Linked DNA regions of Elephas maximus indicus. The protein of the gene in region 1 interacts with the protein of each later gene in a pairwise test. Links are inferred from orthologs where the notes say so. Each region holds a gene or a part of one and is shown on either strand. Other genes may lie near its edges.

Region 1 (15,845 bases):
TGGTGCCCGGCCACAATCGATGATTGCCCTGATAGGGAGCACAGCAGAGGACCCCTGAGGGAGCAGGAGATCAGTGGGATGCAGACCCCAAATTCTCATAAAAAGACCAAACTTAATGGTCTGACTGAGACTAGAGGAATCCCGGCGGCCATGGTCCCCAGACCTTCTGTTGGCACAGGACAGGAACCATCCCCGAAGACAACTCATCAGACATGAAAGGGACTGGTCAGCGGGTGGGAGAGAGACGCTGATGAAGAGTGAGCTAATTATATCAGGTGGACACCTGAGATTGTGTTGGCAACTCTTGTCCGGAGGGGGGATGGGTGGATAGAGAGAGAGGGAAGTCGGAAAAATTCTCACGAAAGGAGAGACTGAAAGGGCTGACTCAAGAGGGGGAGAGCAAGTGGGAGTAGGGAGTGAGATGTATGTAAACTTATATGTGACAGACTGACTGGAGTTGTAAACGTTCACTTGAAGCTTAATAAAAGTCAATAAAAAAAAATTCCAGCCAATAGAATTCAACAACATATCAAAAAAATAATTCAGCACAATCAAGTGGGATTTATACCAGGTATGCAAGGCTGGTTTAATATCAGAAAAACCATTAATGTAATCCACCACATAAATAAAACAAAAGACAAAAACTACATGATCTTATCAATTGATGCAGAAAAGGCATTTGACAAAGTCCAACACCCATTTATGATAAAAACTCTCACCAAAATAGGAATTGAAGGAAAATTCCTCAACATAATAAAGGGCATCTATGCAAAGCCAACAGCCAATATCACTCTAAATGGAAAGAACCTGAAAGCATTTCCCTTGAGAACGAGAACCAGACAAGGATGCCCTTTATCACCGCTCTCATTCAACATCGTGCTAGAAGTCCTAGCCAGGGCAGTTAGGCTAGACAAAGAAATAAAGGGCATCCGGATTGGCAAGGAGGAAGTAAAATTATCTCTATTTGCAGATGACATGATCTTATACACAGAAAACCCTAAGGAATCCTCCAGAAAACTACTGAAACTAATAGAAGAGTTTGGCAGAGTCTCAGGTTATAAGATAAACATACAAAAATCACTTGGATTCCTCTACATCAACAAAAAGAACACCGAAGAGGAAATAACCAAATCAATACCATTCACAGTAGCCCCCAAGAAGATAAAATACTTAGGAATAAATCTTACCAAGGATGTAAAAGACCTATACAAAGAAAACTACAAAGTTCTACTACAAGAAATTCAAAAGGACCTACTTAAGTGGAAAAACATACCTTGCTCATGGATAGGAAGACTTAACAGAGTAAAAATGTCTATTCTACCAAAAGCCATCTATACATACAATGCACTTCCGATTCAAATTCCAATGTCATTTTTAAAGGTGATAGAGAAACAAATCACCAACTTCATATGGAAGGGAAAGAAGCCTCGGACAAGCAAAGCATTACTGAAAAAGAAGAAGAAAGTGGAAGGTCTCACTCTACCTATTTCAGAACCTATTATACAGCCACAGTAGTCAAAACAGCCTGGTACTGGTACAACAACAGGCACATAGACCAATGGAACAGAATTGAGAACCCAGATATAAATCCATCCACATATGAGCAGCTGATATTTGACAAAGGCCCAGTGTCAGTTAATTGGGGAAAAGATAGTCTTTTTAACAAATGGTGCTGGCATAACTGGATATCCATTTGCAAAAAAATGAAACAGGACCCATACCTCACACCAAGCACAAAAACTAACTCCAAGTGGATCAAAGACCTAAACATAAAGACTAAAACGATAAAGATCATGGAAGAAAAAATTGGGACAACCCTAGGAGCCCTAATACAACGCATAAACAGAATACAAAACATTACCAAAAATGACAAAGAGAAACCCGATAACTGGGAGCGCCTAAAAATCAAACACCTATGCTCATCTAAAGACTTCACCAAAAGAATAAAAAGACCACCTACAGACTGGGAATGAATTTTCAGCTATGACATCTCCGACCAGCGCCTGATCTCTAAAATCTACATGATTCTGTCAAAACTCAACCACAAAAAGACAAACAACCCAATCAAGAAGTGGGCCAAGGATATGAACACACATTTCACTAAAGAAGATATTCAGGCAGCTAACAGATACATGAGAAAATGCTCTCGATCATTAGCCATTAGAGAAATGCAAATTAAAACCACGATGAGATTCCATCTCACACCAACAAGGCTGGCATTAATCCAAAAAACACAAAATAATAAATGTTGGAGAGGCTGCGGAGAGATTGGAACTCTTATACACTGCTGGTGGGAATGTAAAATGGTACAACCACTTTGGAAATCTATCTGGCGTTATCTTAAACAGTTAGAAATAGAACTACCATACAACCCAGAAATCCCACTCCTCGGAATATACCCTAGAGAAACAAGAGCCTTCACACAAACAGATATATGCACACCCATGTTTATTGCAGCTCTGTTTACAATAGCAAAAAGTTGGAAGCAACCAAGGTGTCCATCAACGGATGAATGGGTAAATAAATTGTGGTATATTCACACAATGGAATACTACGCATTGATAAAGAACAGTGACGAATCTCTGAAACATTTCATAACATGGAGGAACCTGGAAGGCATTATGCTGAGTGAAATTAGTCAGAGGCAAAAGGACAAATATTGTATAAGACCACTATTATAAGATCTTGAGAAATAGTATAAACTGAGAAGAACACCTACTTTTGTGGTTACGAGGTGGGGAGGGAGGGAGGGGGGAGAGGGTTTTTTACTGATTAATTAGTAGATAAGAACTGCTTTAGGTGAAGGGAAGGACAATACTCAATACATGGAAGGTCAGCTCAGTTGGACTGGACCAAAAGTAAAGAAGTTTCCGAGATAAAATGAATGCTTCAAAGGTCAGCGGAGCAGGGGCAGGGGTTTGGGGACCATGGTTTAAGGGGATTTCTAAGTCAATTGGCAAAATAATTGCATCCCACTTTGAAATGTGGCGCCTGGGGTCTTAAATGCTAACAAGCGGCCATCTAAGATGCATCAATTGGTCTCAACCCACCTGGAGCAAAGGAAAATGAAGAACACCTAGGCCACACAACAACTAAGAGCCCAAGAGACAGAAAGGGCCACATGAACCAGAGACTTACATCATCCTGAGACCAGAAGAACCAGTTGGTGCCCGGCCACAATCGATGACTGCCCTGACAGGAAGCACAGCAGAGGACCCCTGAGGGAGCAGGAGATCAGTGGGATGCAGACCCCAAATTCTCATAAAAAGACCGTACTTAATGGTCTGACTGAGACTATAGGAATCCTGGTGGTCATGGTCCCCAAACCTTCTGTTGGCACAGGACAGAAACCATCCCCGAAGACAATTCATCAGACATGAAAGGGACTGGACAGTGGGTAGGAGAGAGATGCTGATGAAGAGTGAGCTAATTATATCAGGTGGACACTTGAAACTGTGTTGGCATCTCCTGTCTGGAGGGGGGATGGGAGGATAGAGAGAGTTGGAAGCTGGCAAAATTGTCACGAAAGGAGAGACTGGAAGGGCTGACTCATTAGGGGGAGAGCAAGTGGGAATACGGAGTAAGATGTATATAAACTTATATGTGACGGTCTGAGTTGATTTGTAAACGTTCACTTGAAGCTCAATAAAAGTTAATTAAAAAAAAAAAAAGTTGAAATGTTTCTGCATCTGCCGGTAAATAGATACTACCCTCAGCCTCCTGGGATAGCTCCCTCCTCTGACCTCCCTGTGATCCAGTAACCAAAGGCTGAATGTCTGGTATAGCTTGCTCCTGGAAGCTGGCTTAAACCTTGCTTCTGTGTTTTGATTGGTCAGTTCTCGTAGTACTCATTGCTAGTTTTTTCTTTTCTTCCCCCATCTTTCACCAGTTAATAGATGTTCATTGCCCTTTAAAAACTTCTTTTAGGGAAGCATTGAACATCAGTCACATATGCTTTAGTATAAATAATGTAGGATCCTAGAAGCTCAGGGTTAGATGAACCTTAAACTTTATCTACTCTATAGTGGGTTGAATGGTGGCCTCCTAAAAGATATGTCCATCCAGAATCTGTGAATGTGACCTTATTTGGAAAAATGGTCTTTGTGGCTGTAAATAAGTTAAGGATCTTGAGACAAGATCATGCTGCATTATCTGGGTGGGCCCTAAATCCCATAATAAATGTCCTTATAAGAAGAGGAGAAATCACAGATGGAGAGGAGAGAACTATATGAGGATGGAGGCAGAGACTGTAATGATACAACTGGGAGGAAGCCAAGAAACACCAAGGGTTGTCAGCAACCACCAAAAGCTAGGAGGAAGGCACAGAACAGATTCTCCCTCAGACCCTCCAGAGGGAACTGAAGGCTGAAACCTTGATTTCACACTTCTAGTCTCCATAACAAGACGGCACAATGGTTAACTAATTGGCTGCTAACTGAAGGGCTGGCGGTTCGAACCCACCAAGCAGCTCTGCGGGAGAAAGACCTGGTGATCTGCTTCCATAAAGATTACAGCCAAGAAAATCCTATGACGCAGTTCTACTCTGTCACATGGGGTCACTATGAGTCAAAATTGACTGAGCGGCACCTAACAACAACAGCCTCTATACTAAAATAAATTTCTGTTGTTTGAAGGCACCTTATGTGTGGTAGCTTGTTATGGCAGCCCCAGGAAACCCGTACATACTCCATCCTCCAGTTTATCCTTGAACTCTTTCGACAAGTGATTCTTTTTTTAAAAAATAATTTTATTTATTTTGTTGTTGAGAATATACACAGCAAAACATACACCAATAAGACAGTTTCTACATGTACCATTTAGTGACATTGACTACATTCTTTGAGTTGTGCAACCATCCTCACCCTCCTTCTCTGAATTGTTCCTCCGCCATTAACATAAGTTCACAGCCACTAAAGCTCCTCTCTAACCTTTTGAGTTGCTATTCTCAATTTGATCCCATGTAGATAGTTCTTAAAAGAGCATAATGCTCAAGGCAAGCATTTTTTACTAGTTAAGATAAACCATTGTTTGGTTTTAAGAAGACTGTAGGGAACACCTATAAGTGATTCTTGAATTTTTTTTTTTTTTTAACTCCTTGTTCTCCCCTCCTCCCCAATCTCTGGTAGCCACTAATCGTTGTCTCAAAGGATTCATCTATTGTAGATATTTCATATAAATGGAATCATACAACATTTGTCCTTTGTGTCTGCCTTATTTCACTCAGCATAATGGTTTCAAAGCTCACCGATGTGGTAGCATGTATCAGAACTTTATGACTGAATAATATTCCACTGTATGTATATACCGCACTTTATTCATTCATCTGGGCACTTGGGTTGTCATTGCTAAATATTTTTAATATAACTTTTAGCTACAAAGATGTTTAGGCTTAGAGAACCCAGTTTGGCCTGGGAGACAACAGAAGAAGAATCAGAGTGAATGGGACAAAGAGCCTGGCAACTCCCCTGAGCCCAAGGCTGGTGCCTCCCCAAGGAGGGCCCTTGGCTTACTCAAGCTTTGTCCTATAGTCATGGCTGCCTTTGTACATTCATCCACTCACCAAATATTTATTGAGCACCTAGTATATTCCAGGCACAATTGTAAATACTAAGAATGCAGACAAGGACAAGCCAGATAAGATTGCTGCCCTGTTTCAAGAGGAGACAGATGATAAACAGGCAACAAGGTAATTTCTGATAGCAGTAAGTGCTATGAAGAAAATGAAACTCGATTAGAAGATAGGGAGTTACTGTTAGGGGAGAGGTCACAACCTCGTCTCGGTAGGCCAGGAAAGATCTTTCTGAGGATGAAGATTTTGACATGAAGATGGAAAGAGCCTAGGGGAAGAATCTTCTTAGCAGAGGAAGCAGAGCATGCGGCGTCCTAAAGGTGGGAAAGAGTGTGGCATATTTGAGAAACAGAAAGGACCATGTGGATGGAAAGCAAAGAATGAAGGGGAGAGGGGAATGAGATGAAGACAGTGGAAGAGGGCAGAGACCAGATCATGCAGAGTCTGACAGGCTATGATGGAGCATTTGATTTTATTCCAAGCGGGAAGGTTTTAACTGGATTCAGGTATGATCCACGGGATGTGAGGTCCTCAAGGGCAGGCATCATATTCTTCACATTCTGGCACCAAGTAACACCCACATGGCTGGCACCAAATAGTAATAGTCGTTCCTTTTATCCTACATTTACGCATCATGGGCCAGGCACTGTTCTCAGGGTTTAAGATTAACTCTGAATCCTCAACACAAGCCAGTGCTATTGGTTCCATTATTAGCCCCATCTTACCGACAAGGAACCAGAGCCTCCAAGAGGTCACGTAACTGGACAAGGTTACATAGGTCCTGTTAGAACTAGGATGAGAACTCACACCATCTGGTGCTGTGGAGACCCAAAGAGAAGGGGATTGGAGAGACCAGGGAAGAATTAATGAGCATCTGAGAGGGCTTAGGTAGCAAGAGGAACAAGGACAAGTCCAAGAAGCCATGCGGTAGAGCAAGGAAGACACAGCTGGTCAGACCCTGCTGGGGAGGAGAAAGACTGGGAGAGAAGACTGGAGTCCTGAAAGCTGGATGGAGTTCCTTTCTTTCTACCCACTGAACACAGCAAGGGTAGACTCTCAAACTGAGGGCCAAGCTGCCTGAGATTGCAGCCCACCCAAGGTCTTAGCTGCCCACTAAACCTGAGTTTTCTCCAACCTTACTTGGAGCTGAGAGCTCTCCCTAAACAAGTTAGAATAGCTTAAACCTCTGTGCAAAGGAGAGGCCAGAGATGAGGCCTAAGGACAGAGAAAAGGCTCCTCCTGCCTTCACAAAGGGCATGAGCTTATGAAAGCACAAGTTAAAGGGGGAGGAAAGGTGAAGAGGAAAAGCCATGGAAGAAGATCGTTGTGCTAGGCACTTTACATATATTTCCTCCTCACCAAAGTCACTGTTTCAGATGAGACGCTGAGACTCAGAGATGTTATGTAACTTGACCAAGGTCACACAGCTACTAAACCAGAATTCACGCCGGAGTCAGACTGGCTCCATTCATGCTTGGGGACTCCAGAACACAGTCATATTTCCCTGGTTTGTACTCTGATATCTCTCATCCACATTTCCCCAGGCACTGGGCTACACGCAGTGAGCCCCACTACTCATCTCCCAAGCCACCAGTCTTCCCTGGCCCTAGCAGCTTCTTTCCTGCTTAGCCTTTTCTGGCCTCCACCTATTTCCTTTGGTGTCAGTTACAGCATTCCTCTTTGAACACAGGGTTTCCTGCCCACCTCCACCTTGGACCCCAATTTGCTTTGACAGTCCCCTGGGCAGAGACCATACCAGTTACCCCACCCCCCACCCCCCACAGCTGAATGTCTATGCTCCAGGTGGCCAGCCCCCACCCCCTCCTCTGCTCTCCAGGGCTGAGGTCTGGAGGTTGGAGAACCTTCCCTAGTGGCCACTTCAGATGAGGATGGAGCTGGGATGAAGGCACTCTCCCTTCAGATGTATCTGTTCCCATACTGACCTAATGGAGTCTGGGTCTGTTCAGGATGCACCCCATCTCTGAGCCAAGCCCAGAGCCAATATGGTTCATCCCCACGTTCACCCCAGCATCTCTCCCTAACCCTCATAGGCTCCATCCCTCGCCTCTGCAGAGGGATCCTCATAGGTGCCCAGGCAATAGGGTGGTGAAAGAGCTGGCACGGGTATCCTCCCAGTGTCCTGGGAAATGCCTGGATATGTGGATCTGCGGAATGTGTACGTATGTGGCGAGGAGAGCACAGTCCAAGTCCTCAGGTTCCAAAAGGGCCTTAAATTTAGACTTCGGATGTTATCTCCTAAGGAGGTTATACACAGAGCCATTGTCTATGTGTTTGAAGTGTTAATTTGTTAAATGTAAACACTGAAAAATATACCACAGCTTTCAACACTGTTTGGTGTCTCCTTTTTTAAGGACCAGGAAACTCAGAAATGGAAGTAGGTAGGGTTCCCTCAAGCCTCTGGTGTGTGCCCAGGAGGGAGAACCAGGAGAAAGAAGTGGCTGGAAAGAAACAGGAAATCTAAGGAGTAACAATAGGAAGGGCAGAGAGGTGTGGGGGATTAAAAGAGCCCTGTCATTTCAGCTGAAACTCCTTGGGGTACAGATCCTAGTCCTTCTAAAAGAGTTTTTGCCCTTCTGTGCCCGTTGTCACCACTCCTGCTTCTCCCAGGCAGCACGGAACCAGAAGGGTTGAGGGCGGGGGACAGGCCCAGACTGGCAAAGTGTGATAGGCTACCCAACCGGCCCTTCTGCAGCTCTGGGGCCAGGAGCTCAGGCTTCACGTTCTCCTGCCAGTGCCAGAATCCATGCCCAGCCCCAGACTCCAGCCTGTTCCCCTCAGGAACAGCCTGGATAACCCTGTCATCCAAGGGAGGGGAGAGGCTCTGCAGGGGACCCCAGTAAGGCGGAAGGAGCACGCTCCCTCCCAGGGGAAAGACAGATGTGGGGCTAATGAAAGGAAGGCAGAGAGAGGCGCGGGGCTGGCGGAGGAGGGCGGGGGCGTGGCAGGGAGAGGAAAGCTCCCAGCGGGGAGCTGACCAGACCACCGGGAGATCCGCCGCGTAGTCGGGAAGACGGAGGCGCGGAGCAAAGGGGCCGGGAGGGGGAGTGCCGTTTGGCCCGAGGGTCCGGAGCTGAAACTCAACACCCGCCTTTGGAGGGATCGTCCTCCTTTCTCCTCCGCCCCCTCCCTTTTCCCCTCCCTCTTTTTCTTAATCCCCAGGACTGAGCCGCGCGTCGGAGCGGGCCGGAGGGGAGGAGGAAGAAACTGCACTGAGAGGGAGCCAGGAGCCCGGGAAAGGGAGGGTAGCCGAGAGCGGGGGGTGAGCCTGGGGGCCACGCGCGACCCCCGGAGCCTCCCAGCCCTCCTGCTTCGGGGGGGACCCTCTAAGGGTCCCTCCCCAACACCCCCCAGGCGAGTCCACAGGACCTTAGCCACTGCTCTCTTTCGCCTTCCTTTTGCTTCTTCTTTTGCTTTGTGGTCTTTCCCTTCGTTCCCAGAGACACCTGGGAGGTGCCGAGGGGCCCTGCCTAGGGTGCGTGCGAGCGTGGGCTGCGGGGCCCGCTTCGGGTGCCAGGGGGCAGAGGGTGCGAGCGGTCGTGCGCGGCCCTGCGCGCCAAGGCCGAGGGTTGGAGGAGGGCGGCGGGCCCCTCTCTGCCTGGCCGCCAGCAGGAGTTGTTCAGGCCGCCCCGCCTCTACGGGTTGTGCCTGCGTGCGGGCTGCTGCCAGGCGACAGCCGGGGGCGAAGCACCGTCGCGGCGCCCCCAGGCTCCCCAGCTTGCTTACAGCGAGCGTGCGAGCGTAAGCCCGCCGCATTGCCTGTGGTGCGAGCGTCTGGGCAGAAAGCAGCCACTCCAGCAACCCAGCCCAACGGCCACGCTCTCGGAGGCCTTTGGTGGCAGCCCGGCCTCCCCACGCTAACTTGGGCGAGTTTGAAGAGGGACAAAAGTCTCAGTTCTCGCTCTCCTGCTCTCCCAGCGGGTGCCGCCGCAGTGTCCTCCGGTGCCCCGAGCAGTGGTCTGGGAGTCCCACTCTTCTGCGCGCCCCCCGGGTGGGAAGGGTTGATCCCTAAACTCACTCGTCCAGCTCAACCGCCCCGGCGGCCTCTCCCAGCCCTTGGGGCCGCTCAGAGAGGCCTGGAGAGGCGTCGAGTACAGCCCCAGCTCCCGCCTTCTCGCCGGTCCGGGCCCTAAAAGGGAGCTTTAGGCCCATGAGGGTCCGGTAAGCCTCCGCGGCCTAGGGCAGGCAGCCCCGGGGGCCTTGCCAGCCTGGTGGCCCCCGGGACAGTACATAGCGCGCGCCTTTGGATAAGGTCCCGCAGCGACGCCCCGACCCGCCTCGCTCCTCCTCCTGCCTGGCCAGGCTGCCTCCCATTTGGAGAGTTTTGTGGATTTTCTTTCTCCTCCTCCAACTTCGGCGGAGGCCACGGCTCAGGCGCCGCAGCCGGGGGGCGCCTCCTCGCCTGGAGGCAGTGGACCATGGTGCGGGTCAACCGCTGCTGAAGTCAGCGAAACCGAGCCTGGCCTGGAGCAGGCCACGCCAGAGGCCGAGCCCATGGCCATAGCCACGTCGGTGAGTCCCATCAGTGAGAGGAGGCTGCCGAACAGCGACCTCCACAGCCTGCCATGCGGTCCTGTCACTTTTATTTCTTCCTCTCTTTGTCTCTCTCCTGGGTCCCTTTCTTCGCCAGAAGGCTGTCTCCCCTCCTCTCACTTTTGTTCCCCTTTCCTTCTCACTTATCCCCTGCGCTCCTACGGGTTCTGAGTTGCCCCTCCTCCCCTCCCCCTCCCCATTCTCCTCTATTCTTTCTGGAGGCTGCTCTTGGAGCAAGGGGAGGGGGCAAGTGTAACCAGAAACCTATCTGCTTTCCTGGGCGGGAACAGGTGGCCACTTGTGGTCGGCAGGGGCTTGTGATTGGGAGGCTAGTAAAAGGTTGGGAGGGGGCTGAAAGGATGTAGTTCAGGGAAAATGGGAGAGGCCAAAGGACTCTTAGAGGCCCATCTCTAGAGGAGGGACGGAGGAAACGGGGGAAATGGAGCAAAGAAGGACGCTCTGGCAAGAGAAAGAGAAAATAGAGGGAGGAGGGGAGGTGATGTCAGCCAGCCTCAGGCCACTTTCCGGGGACTAGGGACAAAGGGAGGAGACAGCTGGCTGGATGGGACAGTGGGAGGCGGCCTCCCAAAGAACAAGTGGTCCACGGCCACCCCCATTAAGCCAGCCATTCCCTCACAAGTCGGCTGGGCCCTTGAGAAGGGGGTAGAGCAGGGGTGGGCCACACCCATCATCAATCCGTCTATAACAACTCTGCCCATCGTTGTTGTTGTTGCTGTCGTTAGGTGCCATCAAGTCAATTTTGACTCTTAGCTACCCCATGTGACAGAGTAGAACTGCCCCATAGGGTTTTCTTGGCTGTAAGAAGCAGATTGCCAGGTCTTTCTCTAGTTTCCTGTAATTGCAAGCCTGGGTTGTTTGGCCCCATTGGACAGAATTCAAACCTAACAGGAAGGAGTACTTCACAGCCCCACCTCTGCTTTCTGTCTTATGCCCTCTGTAGCCTGAATCCAAGTGATTCCCAGGGAAAGTGAGGCTGCCACCAGTGTTCTGGCCCCCCTCTGCTTGGGAACTCTGGGAAGGAGGATTGTGAAACTGGAAAGAGAAACGGAGAGACATCCATCATCTTCCCATACCCCTGGAGGGGGCCTGCTGGGTTTGAGTTTGGCACCATCTCAGACCAAACTCCTTTTAGTTTCTCAGTCTATGTGATGGTGAGAAGACCTTAGCTCAGAGCCAGAGAGGGGGAGGTCGTAAAATAGTAGGGGCACTGTGACGTAAAGATGCTGGCTTAGGAGCCAGCTGGTCAGCTTTTAGTCCCAGGAGGTAGATTTTTTTCTTTTACTCAGAAGTGAGGAGGTCCAGGGAAATGACTTACACTAATCAGACTCTCAGAATCCTAATAACAGCTAATATTTATTGAGCATTTACTACACCTGGCACTATGCTAAGCTTTCTCGTGGGTTTTTTTTTTTTTCATTTAATGTGAAGTCCACAGTTTAATTGTTAAAATGTGTGCCAAATCATATGTTATTCAAAAGAACTTGAAAAAAAACAATATTTTTGACAGCTAGACTAAGAAATCTAACCCTTCAGTGTCCTTAAGTCATTTTTTTTTTTATTGTGCTTTAAGTGAAAGTTTACAAATCAAGTCAGTTTCTGATACAAAACCTTATATACACCTTGCTATATATTTTTTTATATATATACTCCTGGAAACCCTGGGGGAGTAGTGGTTAAGTGCTACGGCTGCTAACCAAAAGGTCGGCAGTTCGAATCCGCCAGGTGCTCCTTGGAAACTCTATAGGGCAGTTCTACTCTGTCCTATAGGGTTGCTATGAGTAGGAATCTCCTCAACAGCACTCGGTTTGGGTTTTTGGTTTTTATATACTCCTAGTTGCGCTCCCCCTAATGAGACAGCACACACCTTCTCTCCACCCAGTATTTCTGTGTCCATTCAGCCAGCTCCTGTCCCCCTCTGCCTTCATATCTCCCCTCCAGACAGGAGCTGCCCACATAGTCTCATGTGTCTACTTGATCCAAGAAGCTCACTCCTCACTAGTATCATTTTCTTCCTTATAGTCCAGTCCAATCCCTGTCTGAAGAGTTGGCTTTGGGAATGGTTCCTGTCTAGGGCTAACAGAAGGTCTCGGGACCATGACCTCCAGGGTCCTTCTAGTCTCAGTCAGACTATTAAGTCTGGTCTTTTTACGAGAATTTGAGGTCTGCATCCCACTGCTCTTCTGCACCTTTAGGGATTCTCTGTTGTGTTCCCTGTCATTGCAGTCCTTGGTTGTAGCCAGGCACCATCTAGTTCTTCTGGTCTTAGGCTGATGTAGTCTCTGATTTATGTGACCCATCCTTTCTCTTGGGCTCATGCTTACCTTATGTCTTTGGTGTCCTTCATTCTCCTTTGCTCCATGTGGATTGAGACCAACTGATGCATCTTAGATGGCTGCTTGCTAGCGTTTAAGACCCCAGACACCACTCTCCAAAATGGGATGCAGAATGTTTTCTTAATAGATTTTATTATGCCAATTGACCTAGATCTCCCAAGAAACCATGGTCCCCAAACCTCTCATGGGTTTTTGATGCATTATCTCACCCACAACCTCACAAAAACCCTATGGGGATAGTAGTATTATTATCCGAGTTTTACACAGGAGGAAACTGAGGCTCAGAAAGCCTAAACAGCCTGCTCAAAGTCACCCAGCTAGAAAGGGACAGAGCTAGGACTCAAACCCAGGTCTGCCTGCCTCTGGAATCATACTCTTAACCCCCTGGCTAGATCTAAAACACCAGTTTATAATTTACATTTAGAAAGAAACATGCTGAGCTAGCCAGAAATCTATGTCATCTGGTTTGCATGTTTCCATTCTGTGGAACAATATCCTTTAGAAGCCAAAATATAATGAAAAAATGGTTTGATGAGTTTGGAGTCAGGCAAGAGGAGAAGTTAGTTTGTTGTTAAAGTCAACCAGCCGTGAAGGGCTGGACAACCTCTCCACAGAGGGAAACACCCACCAGAAGGCACATGCACTCATGCCGAAGGAACAGGGCAACCTCCCCAGGGCCTGATGGTCAAATGCAGCCTGTTTGAGGTCTTCAGCTTGGGATTTTTTACTGAGTTGGTCAGCACACGGGGATTACCTAGTCAGTACTCCCAAACTACCTGCTGTCCACCACCACTGCCTGGGGCCCTGCCAGCAGCCATGGTCACTTAGCTATCATAACTTAAGCAGAACAGGTAATTTGGCATTTTGAGTGGTTTAAACTTGATTCTGCCAAAGGATATCCTGGAACCCGAGCACTGTGAAGGGTTACTAGCAAAGGGAAATTGGGCATAATGAAGCCTCCATGTGCCCTTGACTCATGTTTGAGTCATGGACTCTCGACTCAACCACTGTTAACCAATATAAGAAAGTAGGTCTATACATTTGTGATTGTGGAGAGGCAGTAAAGCAAGTGATTGAGAGTGCAGGCTCTGGAATCCAACAGCCTGGGGTTCAACTCACGCTCCACCAACTCTGCATCACTGGGCAATGTACCAACCTCTCTGTTCCAATTTCCTTTCCAAAATGGAAATAGTGGTGGCCCCTTCCTCATGAGGTTGTTGTGAGGATTAAATGAGATAATTAGTGTAAAGACATACACAGTGTCTGAACATGTAATTAGCACTCAGTATCTGTGACTTAAGGAGCCCCTGGTCATACAATGGTTAGAGCACTCAGCTGCTAACTGAAAGGTCAGCAGTTCAAACCCACCAGCCACCCTGTGGGAGAAAAGATCTGGTAATCTGCTCCCATAAAGATTACAGCCAAGGGAACCCTATGGGGCCGTTCTAGCTCTGTCTTATAGGGTCACTATGAGTCGGAATCTACTCAACAGCACGCAAAAACACCTGTGACTTACTAAAAAGTCCTCAGGAGGTGCAAACGGTTTGTGCCAAACTGCTAACCCAAAGGTTGGTGGTTCGAGCCCTCCCAGTGGAACCACAGAAGACAGGCCTGATGATCTGCTTCCTTTAAGATGACAGCCAAGAAATCCTACGGAGCAGTTCTACTCTGTAACACATGGGGTCACTCTGAGTTAGAATTGACTCAACAGCAACTAACAACAACAGAAACATCTGTGGCTTATAATCTGAGCATATGGCCCTCGATGGGCCCACCCGATGGACAAGAAACAGGCTAATAAATGTTTGTCTTGGTTGGTTTGCCAGCCTGCCTCTAAACACACACACACTGGAGTGTACACACTTTTCTCCATGGTAACCTCAGCCTCTTCTGAGGTTTGCTCAGACTGAGAACAAACCAAGTGCTTCGGTTTCTGTTTTCTTCATTATTATGCTTAGGCACTGTGTCTGGCCTGGGCTTCTCCCACTTGCTCAGGTTAGGGGATTTCTGCAACTGCTTCTTTTGGGGGGACACCAGCTGAGGGAAGGTAAAGAAAATTCTGGGGAAAACCTTAGCAGGACTTCCTAGCACACACACAAGGCTTTGGAGGAAATTCATTCAAAGCTTGTTTATTGAGGACTGATTGTGAGCCAGGCCCTACTGCAGGTTCTAGGAAGAAAGCAGTTCCTGTCCTCACAGGGCTTACAGTATAAGGGAAGAAATCAGTAATAAAGTAAATGGACAAACAGTGTAAAGAATTATGACAGAAACCATGTGTGGAGACAGAGAATGGGGGCTGGGGGAGGGGTGAAGAAAAGGCCTCTTTGAGAAGGAGACATTTAAGCCAAACTGAAGGATAAAAAAGGGCCTGTAAGATAAGAAGTCAAGGGAAGAGCATTTTGGGTAGAGGGAACAGCAAGTGCAAAGGCCCTGAGGCAGGAAAGAATTTGTCTAGTGCAAGGAATAGAAAGGAAGAGGGAGAGCGCAGGAGGAGGGGAAGCTAGAGAGGAGGTGGGCCCAGTGAGAAAGAAATGAGCCATGAGCTCAGATTTTTAACCTAAGGGAAACAGGGAGCTCTGAAGGGGTCTGAGCAGGGGGTGACATGACCTAACATGGGTGAAGACCCTGCCTCACTCCCACCTCACCCACCAGGCCCAGCTGGCCCGGGCACTCTACGACAACACTGCTGAGTCCCCCCAGGAGCTGTCCTTCCGCCGAGGGGATGTTCTACGGGTCCTGCAGCAGGAGGGTGCAGGCGGGCTGGACGGCTGGTGCCTCTGCTCCCTACACGGTCAGCAGGGCATCGTGCCTGCCAACAGAGTGAAGCTCCTTCCCACTGGCCCAGCACCCAAGCCCAGCATCTTCCAGGTGCCCCCACCTCCGCCTGGCTCACCATATCCAGCCCCAGAGCATGGCAATAAGGACCAGGAGGTGAGAGCTGGGGAGCCCGAACTCAGCCCTGTGCCCTTCCTCTGGGGCCTGCAGTGAGGCAGAGCAGGTTACCTCAGCTCTTCACTGACTTTGCTCTGTGAACCCTAATGACCAGCCCTTCCTGGGCCCTGCTTCCCCATCAATACAGGGAAGGGGTTGGAGGGCCTCTAAGCTCCTTCAAGCCAGACGTTATCTTGTTCCCTGGCCCCTCACTCCTCCTGACCCACCCACCTATCTTGATCCCCAGGTGTATGTGGTACCACCCCCAGCTCGGCCCTGTCCCACCTCAGGATCTCTGACTGGACCCTGTCCGCCCTCCCCTGACCCCATCTACAAGATCCCCAGAGGCAGGGGGACCCAGCTGGCTGCCCCTGGAAACACTTCAGAGGTATGGGCAGGGGCTGCCTGGGCCTGGAGACCCATGTGTGTCTGTGTCTGTG
Region 2 (16,112 bases), on another chromosome or scaffold:
TGTACTAGTTTCTCATCCCACGAGGAGGGTCAGGATGGGTGAAGGACTTATCCTCTCCTCCCATCATGCTAGGAACTCTTAGAAAGTCACTGGCGGGGGGGTGAGTCTTTCCTCCCGTCCTTTGTCCTGTCCTGTCCTAAGGGAAACGGAGACCCTCTGTGTGCCATGCAGAAAATCAGAGAAGGGGTGAGGCAGCCCCAGTACCCTCAGCCAACCTCCACCTGTCTACTCAGCTGGTTGTGCCCGGAGTAGAAATTAAAATGTGGACCAAAACCTCAGACACCCCGTCATCTCCACAATGCAAGTCATATAGCAGAAGGCAAAATAAAACAGCCCTAATGGAAACCAGCTGCAGCTGGCCCTCAGAAGACGCGCTCGAACTCCGTCTGGTTGGTAGTGGCAGGATTGCGGCTCTGGTTGGTGGACTGCTGGGTTATCTGGCTGCCCTTTCGGCGTGGTGGCGCCAGGTACTCGAACATGGACGTCAGGTGTGTGGACAGCATGCCTTTGAGGTCTGAGGGCATGGGGTCGGACCAGAAGAAGTCGTGGTTGAGGGCATCATCGCTGTCGATGCGCTGTGCGGGATCCAGCACCAGCAACTTGTCAATGAGGTCCAGTGCGTAAGGGTCGCGCACGTAGGCCTTAAGCCTGTCCTTCACCTTCCGCTTCTGGCCCTTGGGCAGGTCCAGCTTCTCAAATAGCTCGTACTTGTCCACATTTGGCCACACCTGGGGGGGCGGGGACAGTGACAGGGAACAGAGTTAGTTCACGGGGTGTGTGGCTTATCTGTCGGCCATTTATTCAGATGCTACTGAAGTACCTAAACTAAGACAACTTATCTACTCAGATGTTCCGCAGGCACCCCCGGAGGGAAAACTCAACTTTCCAAGGCGAGAAGGGCAGCAGCTACCATGTACTTAGCACATGTGCAGTGCCAGACTTTTTAAGAAAGTCACCCTGAGTATATGCAGTGCCAACCTAATAGAAGCATTACTTTTGCTTCACACACACACACAAAAAAACAGTTCTCAGATCAGCAGTTCGAATGGCTTGCTGATGGTCCCAGAATTAACTGGTAACAGAATTGAGACTTAAACACTCGCCATGTACTGCTCAAAAGCAGGCCCTTCCCCTCCACCGACCACATCTCCGAGGGGGAGCTTTGGGCCACTGCACTCTCCACTCCTCCCCACCACAGAGGCTTCTGGGCCTCTGCACCCATGGGGACTGGGAGCCCACGCGGCTTGGCCACGCACCTCAGGGGTGATGGAGCCACAGAGCTGGCTGATGAGGGCAAGCTGGTGCTGCTCGGTGTTGCCCTGCATGATAGGGCTGCGGGTCCACATCTCTGCCATGATGCACCCAGCGCCCCACAGGTCAATGGGGGGGCCGTAGTCCCGCTCCCCTGGGAAGAAGAGCGCACCAGGAGGGCCCCTTGAGCCCAAGGGCCTCCTGAGATGCAATGCCCCAGGGCCGACAGCTCAGGAAGCCACGGCAGTGAGGGGCTGGGGTTGGGCAGGTGCCTGGCCCCTGCCCCCCTCTGCCCGCTCGGGGGTCCTCACCGAGCAATAGCTCCGGGGGCCGGTACCAGAGCGTCACCACACGGTTGGTGTAGCGGTTGGGCTGGCTGTTCTTGGCCAGGCTGAAGGCCCGGGCCAGCCCAAAATCTGCCAGCTTCAGGACCCCATCACGGGTGATGAGCACATTAGCTGCTTTCATGTCCCTGTGCAGGATCTGCAGGAAAGACAGGAGTGCAGGCTCAGCCAGGCTCCCCTGGATCCTCTGGCCACAACCATCCCACAGTGGGAGCAAAGGCCTTAGTCTCTCTCTCCTCCGCCGGCCCCTACCTTGTTTCTGTGGATGTAGTACAGGCCATTGAGCAGCATCTGCATGACCTTCTTGATCTCAGACAGTGTGAACTTGACTAAGACATTACTCAGCAGCCCAGCAAGGTCATGCTCGCAGAAGTCAAACACAAGGTATATACTGCCCTTGCAACGGTTATAGGGAGATGCTGAGATGGAAAGAATTGGGGTGAAGGACAGGAAGAAGAGTCAAAAATCCCATATGCAACCCATTTCCCCATAACCAGCTCCTACTCCCTCTAATCCATGGACCACCCATGTCCTCCAGAGCATCCATTTATTCATTCCTTCGCTGGCAAAATATATGTTGAGTGCTTCCCTGGGCCAGGTGGTGTGGTAGGCCCTGGGGAAGAACCAGCTACGACGAGAGAGAACCAAAGAAAGCAATCACCACTGCCTAAGAAGAAGCATTTTAAGGCCCTCCAGTTCTAACTTTACAAACAAAACCTTAGGCTATAAGCCCCACTTTCTCCATCTAAAAACGAAGGATGAGATCCAAACATACCTTTGGTTCGACAGATCTCAATCAAGTTGACCACATTCTCATGTTTCAGAAGTTGGAGAATCTTGATTTCCCGTAGGGCTGTGATGGGAAACTGGGGGGAAAAAAGACGATAAGAGGTCAAAAGTGAGTCAGAGAGCTGCGGGCCAAGGAACTGGTCCTGGGGTCTCTACTAAGGCATACAGATTGAAAGACAGAGTTAAGAACATGGGCTCTGATATAAGCTCACTCAGATCCCTTATCTGTAAAAGGGGTATGATAATAGCATGCACACCTCAAAGAGCTGGTTTGAGACAATGAACTTAATACCCTTATTTTACACAAATTCTTTACTATTCATCACTATATACGCTATTGTCTCCTGCTATTTTCATGTGTTAGCTCTATGCCTGTGTTTAACTTGCTCTGTGGTCACAAAAATAACCTTAAAACATCTTTGATGAGAACTTGGTTTCTGGGGAGTGGGATGAGAGCTAAGATTGGGTGGGATGCTCCTTTCCAACACACTTCTTTGAATATTACTCACTTTTTAAAGCCATATGCATACATTTTTTACATTAAACAAAATCATATACTAAAGAAAACAATTTTTAAAGCTTCTAAACTCTGAACCAAAGTGCATGCAGTGCAAGCATGAGCTCCCCCTCCTGGACTCAGCCCTACTTAAACAAATGTTTAAGATATTTTAATTAAAAGACTTAATTTCGAGGCCAAATTCCCTGAAATGTGCCAATTTCCGAAACTACTAACAAAAATTCAACCTCAGCAGGAGACTCCTGGAAAAAGCAGGCTGGAAACCCAAACCCGCTGCTCTGTGATGCTGGCGGGCCGCACTTACCCCCTCCTTCTCGTTCTCCATCAGCACCTTCTTCAGGGCCACCTTCTGGCCGGTCTTGCGATGCTTGGCCTTAAACACCTCCCTGCAGGCCGAGAGGGGACACTGAGGGCTGATGAGGCAGTTTCCGCAGGGCTCGCCCCTCCCCCACGAGAGGAAGTGTGGCAGGGACAGGGAGACTCCCGGGCGGGGCTCGGCCGGGCACCCGGCACTCGGCCACCTCACCGGCCTGGGTCTCCGGCCCCTTGCCGGGCCTCCGCTTCCCTCCCTCAGTCCCCCCTCTTTACCCAAGCGCCTTCCGGAGGTCCCGCTTTCCTCCCCAGTTCCTCTCTGCAACCCCTCGCCGTCCCACACCCCAGGCCTCAGGCTCCTCCCCGCCAGCCGGCCCCGTCAGGCCCCGGCGGGATGCGGCCCGGCCTTGCGAGACCAGGGGGCATGCCCGGGACTCAGCGGCTTCCCAGCCAACTCAGGCCCAGCTCCCGACGCTCCCACGTCGGCCCTGGGGAGTGCTGGCCCCGGGGCCCCAGTCCCTCGGGGCCCAGTCTTACCCAAAGGTGCCTTGGCCGATTTTGGCGAGCTTCTCATATTTGGACACCTCATCACAAAAGGGGCACTCCACTGAGTCGTACTGCTTTGCCATGGCCGCCTCCAGCGCGCCGCCACCACCTCCAGCCACCGCCGCCGCTCCCACTCCTGGACCTGCTGCTGTGCTCCAGGCCCCTCCGCGGCCGCGCCACTTCCGCCTCCACGGCCACTTCCGGCCTCGCGGCACAGACCCCGCCTCTTCCGCCCGCCGCCCGCCGCCGGGCCCCCTGGGACTTGTAGTTCCCGGGAGGCTAGAGGGAGCTGGAGCTGCAGAGGCGCCGCCGCCGCCGCCGCCGCCGCTGCCCCCGCCGCCGCCGCCGCCGCCGCCGCCACTGCCGGCAACGGCCCCGATCGGGGGCGCGGGGAGCCGGGGCGCCGAAGCTGGGGCTCTGAGCGGTGCGTCCCGCTGCATTGGCCCGGGCCGCTGCTGCTGCCGAAGCTGCTTGCCGCTCTGGCGCCCGATCCGGGGCCAGCCGCAGTGCCCTGCTCCTCCTCCTCCGACGGCACCGCCTCCGCCGGGCTGCGCGGGGCGGCGAGCGGAGGGGCGGTCCCCGAGCCGCGGCCTGGGGGATCCCTGGCCGGGCCCCGGCTCGGGGCGTCCGGGTTAGGGGGCGAGGCAGAAAGAGCCGACGAGGAGGCGGCCCGAGAGCCCCGAAGGGGGCGCGTTATAAAGGGGGAGGTGCCCTGGCCTCGCCCTCCCTTCTCCCTCTACCCGCCCCCTCCCTCCCACCCTCCGCGGCCGCACCTGCCGCCGCCGCCGCTGTCGCCGCCCGCCCGCCCGCCCGCCCGCTGTCCGCCGGCCGCCCTCGGCGCGTCACCGCCTGCGGCCCCTCCCCCGCTTTCGGAGGTGGGGCTCCGCGCCCGACACCTGGCTGCGAGGCGGCCCACCGCGTGCCTCAGTTTACCACCCCGGCAGGCTGTGACGGGGAGCCCCTTCTTTCACGGCTCGGAGTTACCCGCCAGAGGCGAAGGCGGGAGGCGCCAAGGGAGCGGCCTCCGGCCCTGGGAGGAGTGAACGGCCCCCGCCACCGCCCCCCCGGCCCCCGCCACCCGTCGTTGACATGGCAACCGACGGCCGCCAGGGGGCGCGGCGACACTGGAGGCGGCGAGCTAGCAACGCCCCGGCCTCGGGCCCTGTACCCCTGGTTCTCTGGGAGGCAGGAATAAGAATCACAGCGCCCCCACCCCATCCGTGCTGCGCCAGAGCCGGTTGGGCCCATGAAAATAGCTAACATTTACTGAGGACCCCCGTGTGCTCAAGAAGTGCTGGGCGCTCACGCTGAATCCTGGCAACAACCCCCGCAGTCAGGATCACTAACCCATTTTACAGAGAAGGACTCTGAGGCTCAGAGAGATGAGGTCATTTGCCCAAGGTCACACAGTGGCAAAGCTGGAACTTGGTCTCTCTGAACCTGCACGAGGATTCTTTTGACTCTGGCTATTTACAGTATGCTCAGGAGGATAGCAGTGGTGCTACCTGAGGTATGCTGTCCTCCTGCCAGGCACTAAGCTTCCCACTCACCACCGTCCCCCTCCTGACCATACACTTCCCCACATCCCCATGCTGCCTATGCCTTTCCCAGCATCTTCTTGGTATCTTCCTAGCGCTAGGAGCCTCCATTTCTTCCTCTAGCTCTGCCCAATGACCAGCCGCTAGCAGAGTTGTCTTTTCTATGTTCTTCAATCTGCCCCCTTCTTTACAGCTCTGCAGATGTATCCTGAATCCTGGCCACCCCAGTCCAGCCTTTCCATCTGTCTTTCTCACAGCACCCACCAGATTATTCTAAAGTGAGGTCTGCATGTATTTCCCACCTTCAAACCCTCCACTGTCTGGTGACATTCAAGGCTCTTTGTAACTCACCTCCCCAGGTCTATGGCCACACAAATCTCTCTTCCACTTCCTAACTCCTTAAGCTTTCCTGTCTTCAGGGCTGTGCTCTCCAGTCCTCTCCCACCACCCTTCCCCTGACCGAATACCCTTTCTGCCTTCAGAAAGCTCAGGGTTGCTCCCCAGCTCTTACCCTATACTGCCTGGCCTTGAAACCTTCTTGTGACAGCCAGGAATGGGTTTGTTGATCCTGGTATCCCAAGAGGCCCTGTTCTGGGGCAAGGCCTTGCCAGGGAGGGCCTTAAGGATCAGTCCAAGGAGTGGGGAGGCCTCTCCTGAGGGCAGTGTGGAGCCTGTGAGGGTTTTAGGCAGTTGAGTGATGTGTCAGAGTGTGTTGGGCCAGCTTCACGGGTAACCTGTTGCAAACAGGGAGCCCATTGGCTAATATGGGGGTGAGCGAGGGCAGGGAGGACAAAGATAATGATTATAGTAATTAACATTTATTGAAGAAAAATAAATGGGGCAAACCCTACACCTAGCACCATATGAGAATCATCTCAATTCTCACTCAACCCTGTGAGTGGGTACTATTTTCAACTCCGTTGTACACACTGGGTCAAATAGCTAGCCAGTGGCCAACTGGTATTTAAACCAGGTCTGTGTGGCATAAAGCCCAAACCCTTACCCATGTCAGGGCCTGGCCCATCCAGACTGGAGGTGGAGCCAGGGCAGAGCCGTGACACAGGCAAGTTGGCCTGGAGGTAGGATGGGAGGTGGAGGAAGGCAAAGTAGCAATGCGGGTCTGCCATGGGTCTACGTGGCTGCCACCCTCATACCTTCAGACCAGGGCCTGCTGCCTGTTTCCCACGACACCTCCTCTAAGCCACGTCCTGTGGGCAGAGACCTCAGCAGAGGTTCCGGTGCTATCATCACCTCCAACCTACTGTCCCTGGCCTGAACCCCGATATCCATCAGTCACTCCTACTTGGAGCCTTGAACCCTCAGCCCTCCCTGGGGAAGGAAGGCAGGCAAGGGGGGTCAGGAACCCTTCTGAAGGCTGCCACCCACTAAAACTGGCAAAACCCAGGCAGAAGTGAGAAGAAATTAGATCCCAGCCAGAAATAATTTCTCGCTAACTTTGACGTCTGTTTTGCTGGTTTCCTGCTTCCTGTGGACTGGCTAAGCTGGCAAGGTTGGGCATATGGCTGGTACTCACTAACTGTCTGCTGGCTGACCTACTGACCAGGCTCTGACAAGCCCTTAGTCCTGCTGCCATTTAACAGTTTGGGCAGTTGAGACACAGAGCAGGAAAGGGAGCCACTGGACAGCTTTTTGACCCTGGCCTGGACCCTCTGTTTCTACCCCAGAGCAGGAATGGGGTAGAGAAATGTGAACGGGAAGGAAGATAGGCTCCTGGGCTGGGCTGCTTTTGGCTGCTGGTGTGACCAGACAGACAAGGGGTCACTGCGTAGAGGGATACAGGACAGAATGGCTGCTGATGTCCATGGCCCTATAAAACCATGAAAGTTCTGCCCACACTGGCTGGGCACTGACTCTGTATCTGGCCTGTGTTGACATGTGTCATCATCCCCTGAAACTTGATAGCACCTCTTTTGGGAGGTGCTATTTTTGAGCCCAGGTTACAGAGCAGGAAACCGAGGATCTGAGAGGTGAGGTGGCCTGCCCAAAGCCACTCATCCAGGGAGCAGTGGAGGCGGGATTCAAAACCAGGTCTATTTTCAAAGTCCAGAGTCATTAACCATCATCCTATACTGCCCCCAATACCAGGCAACCAGGTCAACCCGGGGAAAAGCATCTATTGAGCACCTATGGTATAGCTGCTGATATGGTAGGTAAGGCATCCAGGAAGCTTGAGTTCTGTTTGGAACATATAAATAAAGACACAAATAAATGTAATAAGAATTATAACCTCAATAAAAATGTTTTTATTTCACTTTCACAAGATGGTGTGGAGGGATGTTGTATTTGCTCCATTCTACTAACCAGGGAAAAGAGGCTCGGAGAGGAGACATGACTCCCCACCCCACACACAGGTGGGGACTGAACTTGGGTTTGCCTGAGTCCAATGCCTTTGAAGTTTTAGGTCTCCAATTTCTGATACTACTTGGTGAAGCTTCAGGTGATTGAGTCATAGACTAGGGGAGAGGGGCAAGGAAAAGGGACAGAAATCAGAGTAGGGTTCCTGGGGGCACTGTGGCTTGGCCAGCCCTGGAGAGACTGGAAGGATGCAAAAGTTTGAGCCAGTGGAGGGGAGAGCAGCATTCTCGATGTGGGTCCAGCCCAAGCAAAGGCCTGGAGGCAGGGGAATGCTAGTTAGTGTGTTCAGGGCTGCGAAGCGTGGGCTGGGCAGGGCTGGCTTCCAGCACAGGCTGAGAAGGGCCTGTGGGACAGCCACCCGCCAGCAGTTTCCCAGCCACACTCCCAACGGCCACTTGAGGCAGCACAAAGGGGGCTCTGAGCTTGGCGGAGCTGCCACACTGAGCTCCATTCATTCTCCCAGCGACAGGGGCAATTCCGCTGGCACCCGGGCCAACGGCAAGACCAAGACCGGCCCTAGCGCTGATGAGGAGCCTCCGCCAAAGCAGCAAGCCCACCCACCAAGGTTTTCCTGGCCTGAGCGGGTTTGTCCTTTTCCTGGCTCCCTCCTATTCCATAGCAACAACAGCCACTGCTTGCCGAGGCCCACTGCGTGCTAGCATTTACTTTTCATTCTCCCATCTTCATTTCACAGATGAGGAAACTGAGGCCCAGAGAAATTAGTCGCAGGATCACACAGCAAGTCAGGAGTAGGCTGGACTGGGAAGCCAGCACTGGCCGATGCCACAGCCCTGGAACTTAACCCTAGTTATGTTGGAACTGCGTCCTGAGAGAGAAGCTGGAGCGGGGGGACCCACCCTCTGCTTTCTGCTAGGGGCCCTCTCCATCTTCTGACATCAACCTGAGACAGGAAAGGGCACTGGCCTGGGAGGACAGACACCTGGATGTCTTTCTCTCTAGTCTCTGCTCGCCCTTAGCCTCAGTTTCCTCATCTGTGAAGTAGGGACAGTACCAGAATTTGCCTCATAGGTCTGTTGTAAAGATTCAAATGGAGGATTGTGGAGGCTTCCAACCTTGTACCTGGCACATTGTCAGTGCTCGATAGCAAGAGCTAGAAATATACCTTCTTCTCCCAAGTTCGTGACTCAGAAATCCCTTACTTTCATTTGAGCCTTGAACACTGGTCTCATCCATGCCTATCTGCAAGCCAGGACCTTGCTCCCTTGGCCTCATGGGCTCTGTTCCTTTCCTTTTCAGGGCCCCTGTTCACCCTTACACCAAGAAGAAAGTTCATCCAGACTCTCCTCCCACCAAAGTGCATCACCTTGCTGACAGGGAGTTAGGGGAGGCCATGAATGTGGCAGTTAAAAACTCAGGCTCTGTAGCTGGACCAAGCAGGTTCCAACTCCAGGTGACTTAACTTTTTGGGGCCTCAGTTTCCACATCTCTAGAATGGGGACAAAAGTAAAATTATTTACCTCTTATGGCTAAGGACTGAGCTATGTGGCTGGAATGAAGTTGGCAGAAGATTTTAGTCATCATCATTATTTTTATAGAGGATACAAAAACCAGCTCCATCTGACCTTGGACTCCCTCCCTCTTAGGCCTGGTTGTCGGCCTGGAGGCCAGAATAATAATAAAATAATGCCAGAACCTCTGCAGGTTGACTGTGGACCTCATACCCATTTTAGAGGTTAGGTGACGGAGGCTTTGGAGGCAGAAGTACTTGTCTGCACTAGGATTTGAAGCCCCTGGTTTTGCTGCTGCACCAGCCGGAGCAACTGCTGACACCCTCTGCAGGTGTTGGGGATGACCTGCTTGAGGGGAGGTTGCATTTCCTCATCTCTGTCCTGCTCACAAGAGTGTGCATACAAGGGAAGGTTGTAGGGTAGGGAAAGTACCAGGCTCCTGTTAAGGGACCCGGAAGGGAAAATTGTAACCCAATCTGTGCTACTGACCTATTGTGTGACCTGGGGCAATCACTCTGTCTGTGCCTTGGTTTCCCCCTCAGTGTACAATGGGTGTGGTGGACCAAATTACTGCTGTGTCCCTGCTAAGTGACCACGCCTTGATAGGCACCAAATCTGTGCCAAGCTCTGTGCCAAGCATGGGACCCTGAGGGGTAGGCACTGCAAGCACCTCTGCTCACAGAGAGGAAACTGAGGCTCAGCGAGTGAGCTCTCCAGACCAAGATGACAAGGTGGCCAAGTGGCCAGCCAAGAGTTGAATTGGGTCTGAGTGGTCCCAGAACCCACAGGTCTGACTACAGACGCTCCTACCCCAGTTGCCAGTCTATCTCCAGGGTACCAAGGCTTGTAACAACTGCCCTGCATGCTGGCCTGACTTCCCGTACCCTCCCCTCTCACTGGCCAGCCCCCCTGATAGTTGCTGGAGGCCCTCGGTGGCCCCTGGCCCAGTGGGCTCCGTTCCCAGAGTCTGTGGTTTGTTCCCCAGACCTTCCAGGTCCCATGGGCTTGTGGTCCCCCTCCTTCCATCCCCTGCTGCTGAGGCCAAGGAGGCGACCCAGAGGGGCTGAGAATGGGGAGGCCCCACCCCCACCCCCTGTGAAGAGGGTGGGGTGGGTGGGGCTGTGGGAGTTTCACTGGTTTAAAAATAAACAGAGGAAGCCAGCAAGAGGGCTTGAGAAAGGGGAAGGGGAGGTGGGGAGGCACATCATTGTTGATGTCCAGAGCCTCAAGTGGCTACTTGCCTGCTGCCCTGGGGCTCTGCACAGCTCGCCAGGATGACAGAGGAGCCCAGAAAAGCCAGCAAAAAGTTCAGTGAGTGCGGGACTGCTGCCTGTGCTCGTCTGCATCCCTCCAACTGTCTGTCTGTCTGTCTGGGCTTCTGGCTGCATCTGTTTCTCTGTTCCCCTGTGCCTTTTCTGTTTTTCTTTCTGTCCATTGCTGTTTCTCTCCGGAGCTCTCTGCTTCTGAATTTCCATGTTGCTGTGTCTCCAACACCCTGGCCCAGTCTCTCTCTCTCTGTCCCCTCAGATGGCTTGACTCCATCTCCTTGCTTCTCTTGTCCCTGTCTCTTTGCCCATCTCTGTTTCTCTGTCTTTCCCCACCCCGCCTCTCGGTCTTTCCATCTCTCCCCATCTCTAGCTTTGTCTAACCTCAGGGCTGGGCAGGGAGAGATCTCCCTCCTCTGCCCTCTCTCCCCTCCCCAGCCTGGGTCCACACTGATCTCAAGCTGGGAGTTACTGGGGCAGGGGGGATACCATGGGATGTTGTCCCATGTTCCTACAGCAGTGAGGCTGGGACCCAGCACCTGGGAAAGAGCCCAGAGCTACTAACCAGGCTCCTGGGCCAGGGGCCACACCCACCCTTCCCTCCACTTCCCCAGCTGGGTCTGCTCGTGGTCCAGTGAACTTCCGCTGTCCCCTGAAACCTTTGATCTGACAGCACCAGGGAGGGAGGTAGGGGAGTAGAATACAGGGTTATGTCTACATTCTACAGATGGGAATACTGAGGCCCATAGAGGGCCAGAGACTTGCCTGAGGTCATATGGGACCACTGAGCTAGGCTAGAGTCTGCATCCCTGGACTCTAGGCCTCGGTTTCTCTCTGTGCCCCACTACTGCCTCTACCTCGAGTGCCCAGGAGACAAAACAAGTAATGCTGAGAAAAGAGGCAGCTGATGGTTATCCCTCTGGCCGTGGGCACAATTTCTACCCCAGGGGGCAGCTGTCTGAGCACATAGCATCAGCATTTTCTGACAGCATTTCTCAGGAGGCAGAGGTGAAGACCAGGTGAGGGTAAGCAGGACAGGGTGAGAAGATCTGACTCAGGAGTCCAGAGCCTGGGCCCTAGTCTAGGCTCAGCCATGGCCTTGCTGTGTGACCCTGGGCAAGTCCCTTCCCCTCTCTGGGCTTCCCGTTGATGGGGGATATCTTACCTATATTCCAAAGTGGTTGTGAGGACCCGAGGAGGTGGAGGTTGCCGGTAAAGTGAAAAATGCCAGTTTTTCTATTTTGCTCATCTAGGGGCCATAGGGAAGGAAGTCAGAAGGTAGAGGCTGAGAGGAGGGATAGTCCTACAGCTGGGGGAGGAGAGGAGGGAGCTCACACACACTCCTGCGGAAGTGAGGAGATGGTATCACCCGAGCCCTGTCGCCTCAGTCCGATATGTGGGCTCAGCTGACAGGAAGCAGAGAACCGCAGAGTGGGACCCTCAGGCCCCCAACACCCCTTTACATTTCATTCCCCTTCCTATACACACACAGGTATCCACACCCACTCATACATGCTTCACCTATTGACTGTGTGACCTAGGGCGGTTCATTTCACCGTTCTGAACCTCAATTTTCTTATCTGGAAAATGGGGAGTTAAGCTTGGGGCATTGAGTTGTGCTGGGGATTCAGTGAGGTAATATGTGCAACATGTTCGACAAATGCAGAGGTATTTGTCACAGTAATGATCACTGTTGTCATTGTCTTCATCGTCATCACGACCTTATTGAGGGTAGTCTGTGTGCCAGGCACCCTGTTAAGCTTGTTACTTACATGCTTTTCTTCAATCCTCCCATCGCCCATGAAAGGAAGTAGGCATTATAACTCGAACTTTACTGATGTGGTGAATGAGGCTCAGAGAGGTCAAGTGACTTGCTTAAGGTCACACATCCAGGATGTGAAAGAGCAGGGATTCAAGCCCAGGGCTGTATGATTCCATAGTGTTACATTACTTTCTGGGAATGTGATAATACTTAGAAGGGGTTTCAGCGAAGCCCTCCAACCTCCTTGAGGCCTCAGTCAGTGGTACTGGAAATATTTATTGTTATTGTTGTTGCTATCATTGTCATTAATTCCTTTTCCTCTGCTCCTCCTACCCCCGCCAGAGTTCTTCAAGTTCAAGGGCTTTGGGAGTCTCTCCAGCCTCTCCCGGTCCTTCACTCTGCGACGGTCCTCAGCCCACATAAGCAACCAATCCCATCTGGAGCCTGACACCTTTGAAGCCACGCAAGATGACATGGTGACAGTTCCCAAGAGTCCCCCAGCCTATGCCCGCTCAAGTGACATGTACAGCCATATGGGCACCATGCCTCGCCCCAACTTCAAGAGGGCTCGAGACCAAAAGGCTGGCCAGGAGGCTCAGGAGAGGGGTCCTGAGCCCCACCTGGTGCCCCAAAGTCTGCGAGACCCCCCAGGCTTGGAGGCAGTCAAGGAGGTGTTTGTGCAGGCCGTTGCTCCCCTGGATGACATCCCAGCAGTGGGGCCCAGTCCTTCAGCAGTGGAGGCAGGCCCCACGAGAAAGCCTGAGGCCCCTAAGGTAGACGTGGAAGAGGAGAGCGCTCCCAGGGATGTGTCCTCAGGAAGGTAGGTGCCCCCAGGGGCAGGTGGAGTGGGACCTACAGGGATGGTGTTTCCAGCCTCCTGCCAATGTACCGCTGGAGAGGATCCCCCAACACACACATCTGGGTTAAAAAGAAAAAGAAACATGTTAACCAAGTGCTTACTACAGACAAGGCTCTGTGCAAGGACTTTCACTTGTAATTAATTCTCAAAAAAAAGAAAAAAACTCAGTGAGGAGGTACTGTTATTATTTCCATATGACAGATTTGGAAACTAAGACTCAGAGAGGGGAAGTCATTTGCCCTAGGCAGATGGCACATCTAGATAATGACAAGGTTAGGATTCGAACTGACGTCCACCAGACTATGAAGCTATAGCCTCCAGCATAGGCCCTCAACTGCTGGTTGGGCCCTGACCTCCATCACTGGAGCCCTCCTCTGCTACCCCCCTTTTCCTCACCACTCAGGTCACCATGTTTAATCCTATTGGACAACACTGCTTCACCTGATCTAGAAAACTGTTTGTCAACTTGGTTATAGGGTGTATTTGTTTCCTAGGGCTGCCATAATAAAATCCCACCAAGTGGGTGGCTTATAAGAACAGAAGTTCATTGTCTCACAGTTCTGGAGGCTGAGAGTCCAAATCAGGGTATCAGCCATGTTGATTCCTTTGAGTGCTCTGAGAGGGAAACTGTTCCATGCCTCTCTCTTGGCTTCTGGTAGCTCCAGGTATTCCTTGGCTTGCAGTTGCAGCATCTCAAGGAGTCCTTCTTCTGTTTCCCTGTGTCTGTGTATCTTCTCTTTATAAGGACACCATTCCTATTGGATTAGGACCCCACTCCAATACGATCTCACGTTAACCTAACTGGTAATATCTTCCAAGACCATACTTCCAAACAAGATCTCATTTACAGGTACCAGAGGTTAGGACTTCACCATATCTTTTTGGAGGGACGCATTTCAATCCATAACATAGAGTGAGCTGAGTTCATGCAAAAACACAAATAACAGTGATGTGACAATAGCTCCCACTCAGTAAGCACTTTTACTGGGTATCAAAACAAATGTTATCTCACTGAAAACTCTGTAGAAGTTTCTATTAGCCCCATCTTAGAGATGGGAAAACTGGGACTCAGCCGAGGTTGTAGAGCTGGGATTTTAGCTGGAATCTGCCTGCCTCCAGTGGCCTCACACTTATCTGTCTTCTAAGCCTAAGGCCATTTTCTTTATGCCTCTGGGAGACTCCTCACCCTTAACCAAAGCAATCATCCATGTTCTCAACCTGCAGAGGCAGAGCCTCTGACTAAATCAAACCAGTCAGAAGTGCCTGCTGAAATAAAGAGAAAAAACCCAGCTGAGCAAAAGTTAACTCTAGGGTAAATTCTGGGACCTTTCATGAGTGGCCTTCCCCTGAGACATCAAACAGCTTCTGAGTACTGGGCTGTAATCTAGTCTAGACCCCCGGTTCACTGGGGAGTGGAACCCTGTAAAGCTACACAGCGAAACCGGTTCAGTCTTTTCCTCTTACTGCCTGCATGACCTTGGACAAGGGTGTTCCCCTCTCAGAGCCTCAGTTTCCTCATCGGAAAAATGGGCATCATGATAGCACCTATCTCATAGGGTTATGGTGAGGATTCAAGGATAATATACCTTCGAAATCTCAGCACAGTGCCAAGCACACCGAAATGCTCAGTAAATGGAAATGCTTATGATTATGGTTAATAAAACTAATGCTTTTCCTCCATACCTGGCTGCTCCAGGCTCCCTTCTCCCGCCAAACCCTCATAAATCTGGCTCATGCAGGTGTGGAGGAATAAGAATTGAGTGTTTAGAGGGGAGTGCCTGATGGGCCTGAGGGAGTCTGAGGTGCTCCGAAGTCTGGGATGTGCACTAGGAGCCTGGTCCCTCCCCGCCAGCAACGTTGACAGCCTGGGAGAGCTGGGCGCGGCGGGACGGGACGGAGGGGCGTGTCCTTTCCGCGGACTGTTTGGGAAGCCAGCGTTGGAGCGGGGCGGAGCGAGGCGGAGGTGTGGTGGTGTGTGCTGCGAAGGGCGTGGCTCCCCAGCTTCGGAAGCCGACAGACGGGTAGGGGGCGGAGCGAGACAGGAGGCGGAGACACGTGTTTGGGGCGCGGCTTTCTCTGCTAGAGTAGCGGGCGGTGGAGCGGAACCCGGCAGAGGGAGGAGGGACGTGCTCGGAGGCGTGGTCTACAGGTCAGGCCCCGCCCCCGGGCCCTGCCTCACACTCCGCAGCTCGGAGGCCAGAGAAAGGCAGGAGCCGCCGGGCTGAGGACGTCCCGGTGTTTCGGGCGGCGACCACAGGGAAATCATGACTACAGTGGGCCGAAGATACCCGGCTCTGGGGCCTCGAGGGTGAGTGACTCAGCTGGGCCGGAGGAGGGCCGGCAGGGACAGGAGTGTCTGAGGGGGAAATCTGACCCTCTAGGACAGCTGATGGTTAAGAGCTGTGGCTGCTAACCAAAAGGTCGGCAGTTCGAATCCGCCAGGCGCTCCTTGGAAGCTCTATGGGGCAGTTCTACTCTGTCCTATAGGGTCGCTATGGATCGGAATCGACTCGACGGCAACGGATTTGTTGGGTTTAGGACAGCTGAGGGAGCCCTGGTGGCTCAGTGGCTAAGTGCTTGTCTGCTAATCCAAAGGTCAGGGGTTCGAATCCGCCAGCCGCCCCCGCGGGAGAAAGTTGTGGCAGTTTGCTTCCTCCGTAAAGATTTACAGACTTGGAAGCCCTATGGGGTGGTTCTGCTCTGTCCTATAGGGTAGCTATGAGTCAGAATCAACTGGACAGCAATGGGTTTGGGAGGACAGCTGACAAACCGAGGTACCAGTTTAGCATCAGGGACTTTTCTAAGTCACACTTCCTTGGCTTTAACTCTGTTCTGGCCTTGCCCTGGCACACACTGGGCATCAGCTCTTCTACTCACAACAGCCTTAGGAGGGAGGTACTATCATCATTCTCATTTTACAGATGAAGAAAGAGAGGTTTACATGCCCAATTTGGCACAGTAGGCATAGTGGTTAAGAGCTGGGCTACAACCAAAAGGTCAGCTGTTCCAATCCACCAGCCGCTCCTTGAAAACCCTATGGGGCAGTTCTACTCTGTCTTATAGGGTCACTATGAGTCAGAATCG

Evidence for each region.
Region 2: the proteins of EFS (region 1) and SH2D3C interact in a two-hybrid assay, tested with the Homo sapiens proteins (2 studies listed by BioGRID and IntAct). The two-hybrid records come from large-scale screens. The link is inferred for Elephas maximus indicus from reciprocal best matches to the Homo sapiens genes EFS and SH2D3C.

Annotation. Positions count from the first base shown.
Region 1 is NC_064828.1:34,692,708-34,708,552, reverse strand, and holds the start of EFS (embryonal Fyn-associated substrate), read left to right. Parts: upstream 1-9,853; 5' UTR 9,854-10,081; coding exon 10,082-10,099; intron 10,100-15,126; coding exon 15,127-15,405; intron 15,406-15,652; coding exon 15,653-15,793; intron 15,794-15,845. UniProt on the Homo sapiens protein: Docking protein which plays a central coordinating role for tyrosine-kinase-based signaling related to cell adhesion. May serve as an activator of SRC and a downstream effector. Interacts with the SH3 domain of FYN and with CRK, SRC, and YES.
Region 2 is NC_064827.1:78,865,942-78,882,053, reverse strand, and holds the start of SH2D3C (SH2 domain-containing protein 3C), read left to right. Parts: upstream 1-10,323; 5' UTR 10,324-10,416; coding exon 10,417-10,453; intron 10,454-12,511; coding exon 12,512-12,989; intron 12,990-15,204; exon of another isoform or gene 15,205-15,292; coding exon of another isoform or gene 15,293-15,336; intron 15,337-16,112. Other genes in the region: CDK9 (cyclin-dependent kinase 9), read right to left, coding at 363-728, 1,257-1,405, 1,563-1,734, 1,848-2,014, 2,371-2,461, 3,206-3,287, 3,751-3,842. UniProt on the Homo sapiens protein: Acts as an adapter protein that mediates cell signaling pathways involved in cellular functions such as cell adhesion and migration, tissue organization, and the regulation of the immune response.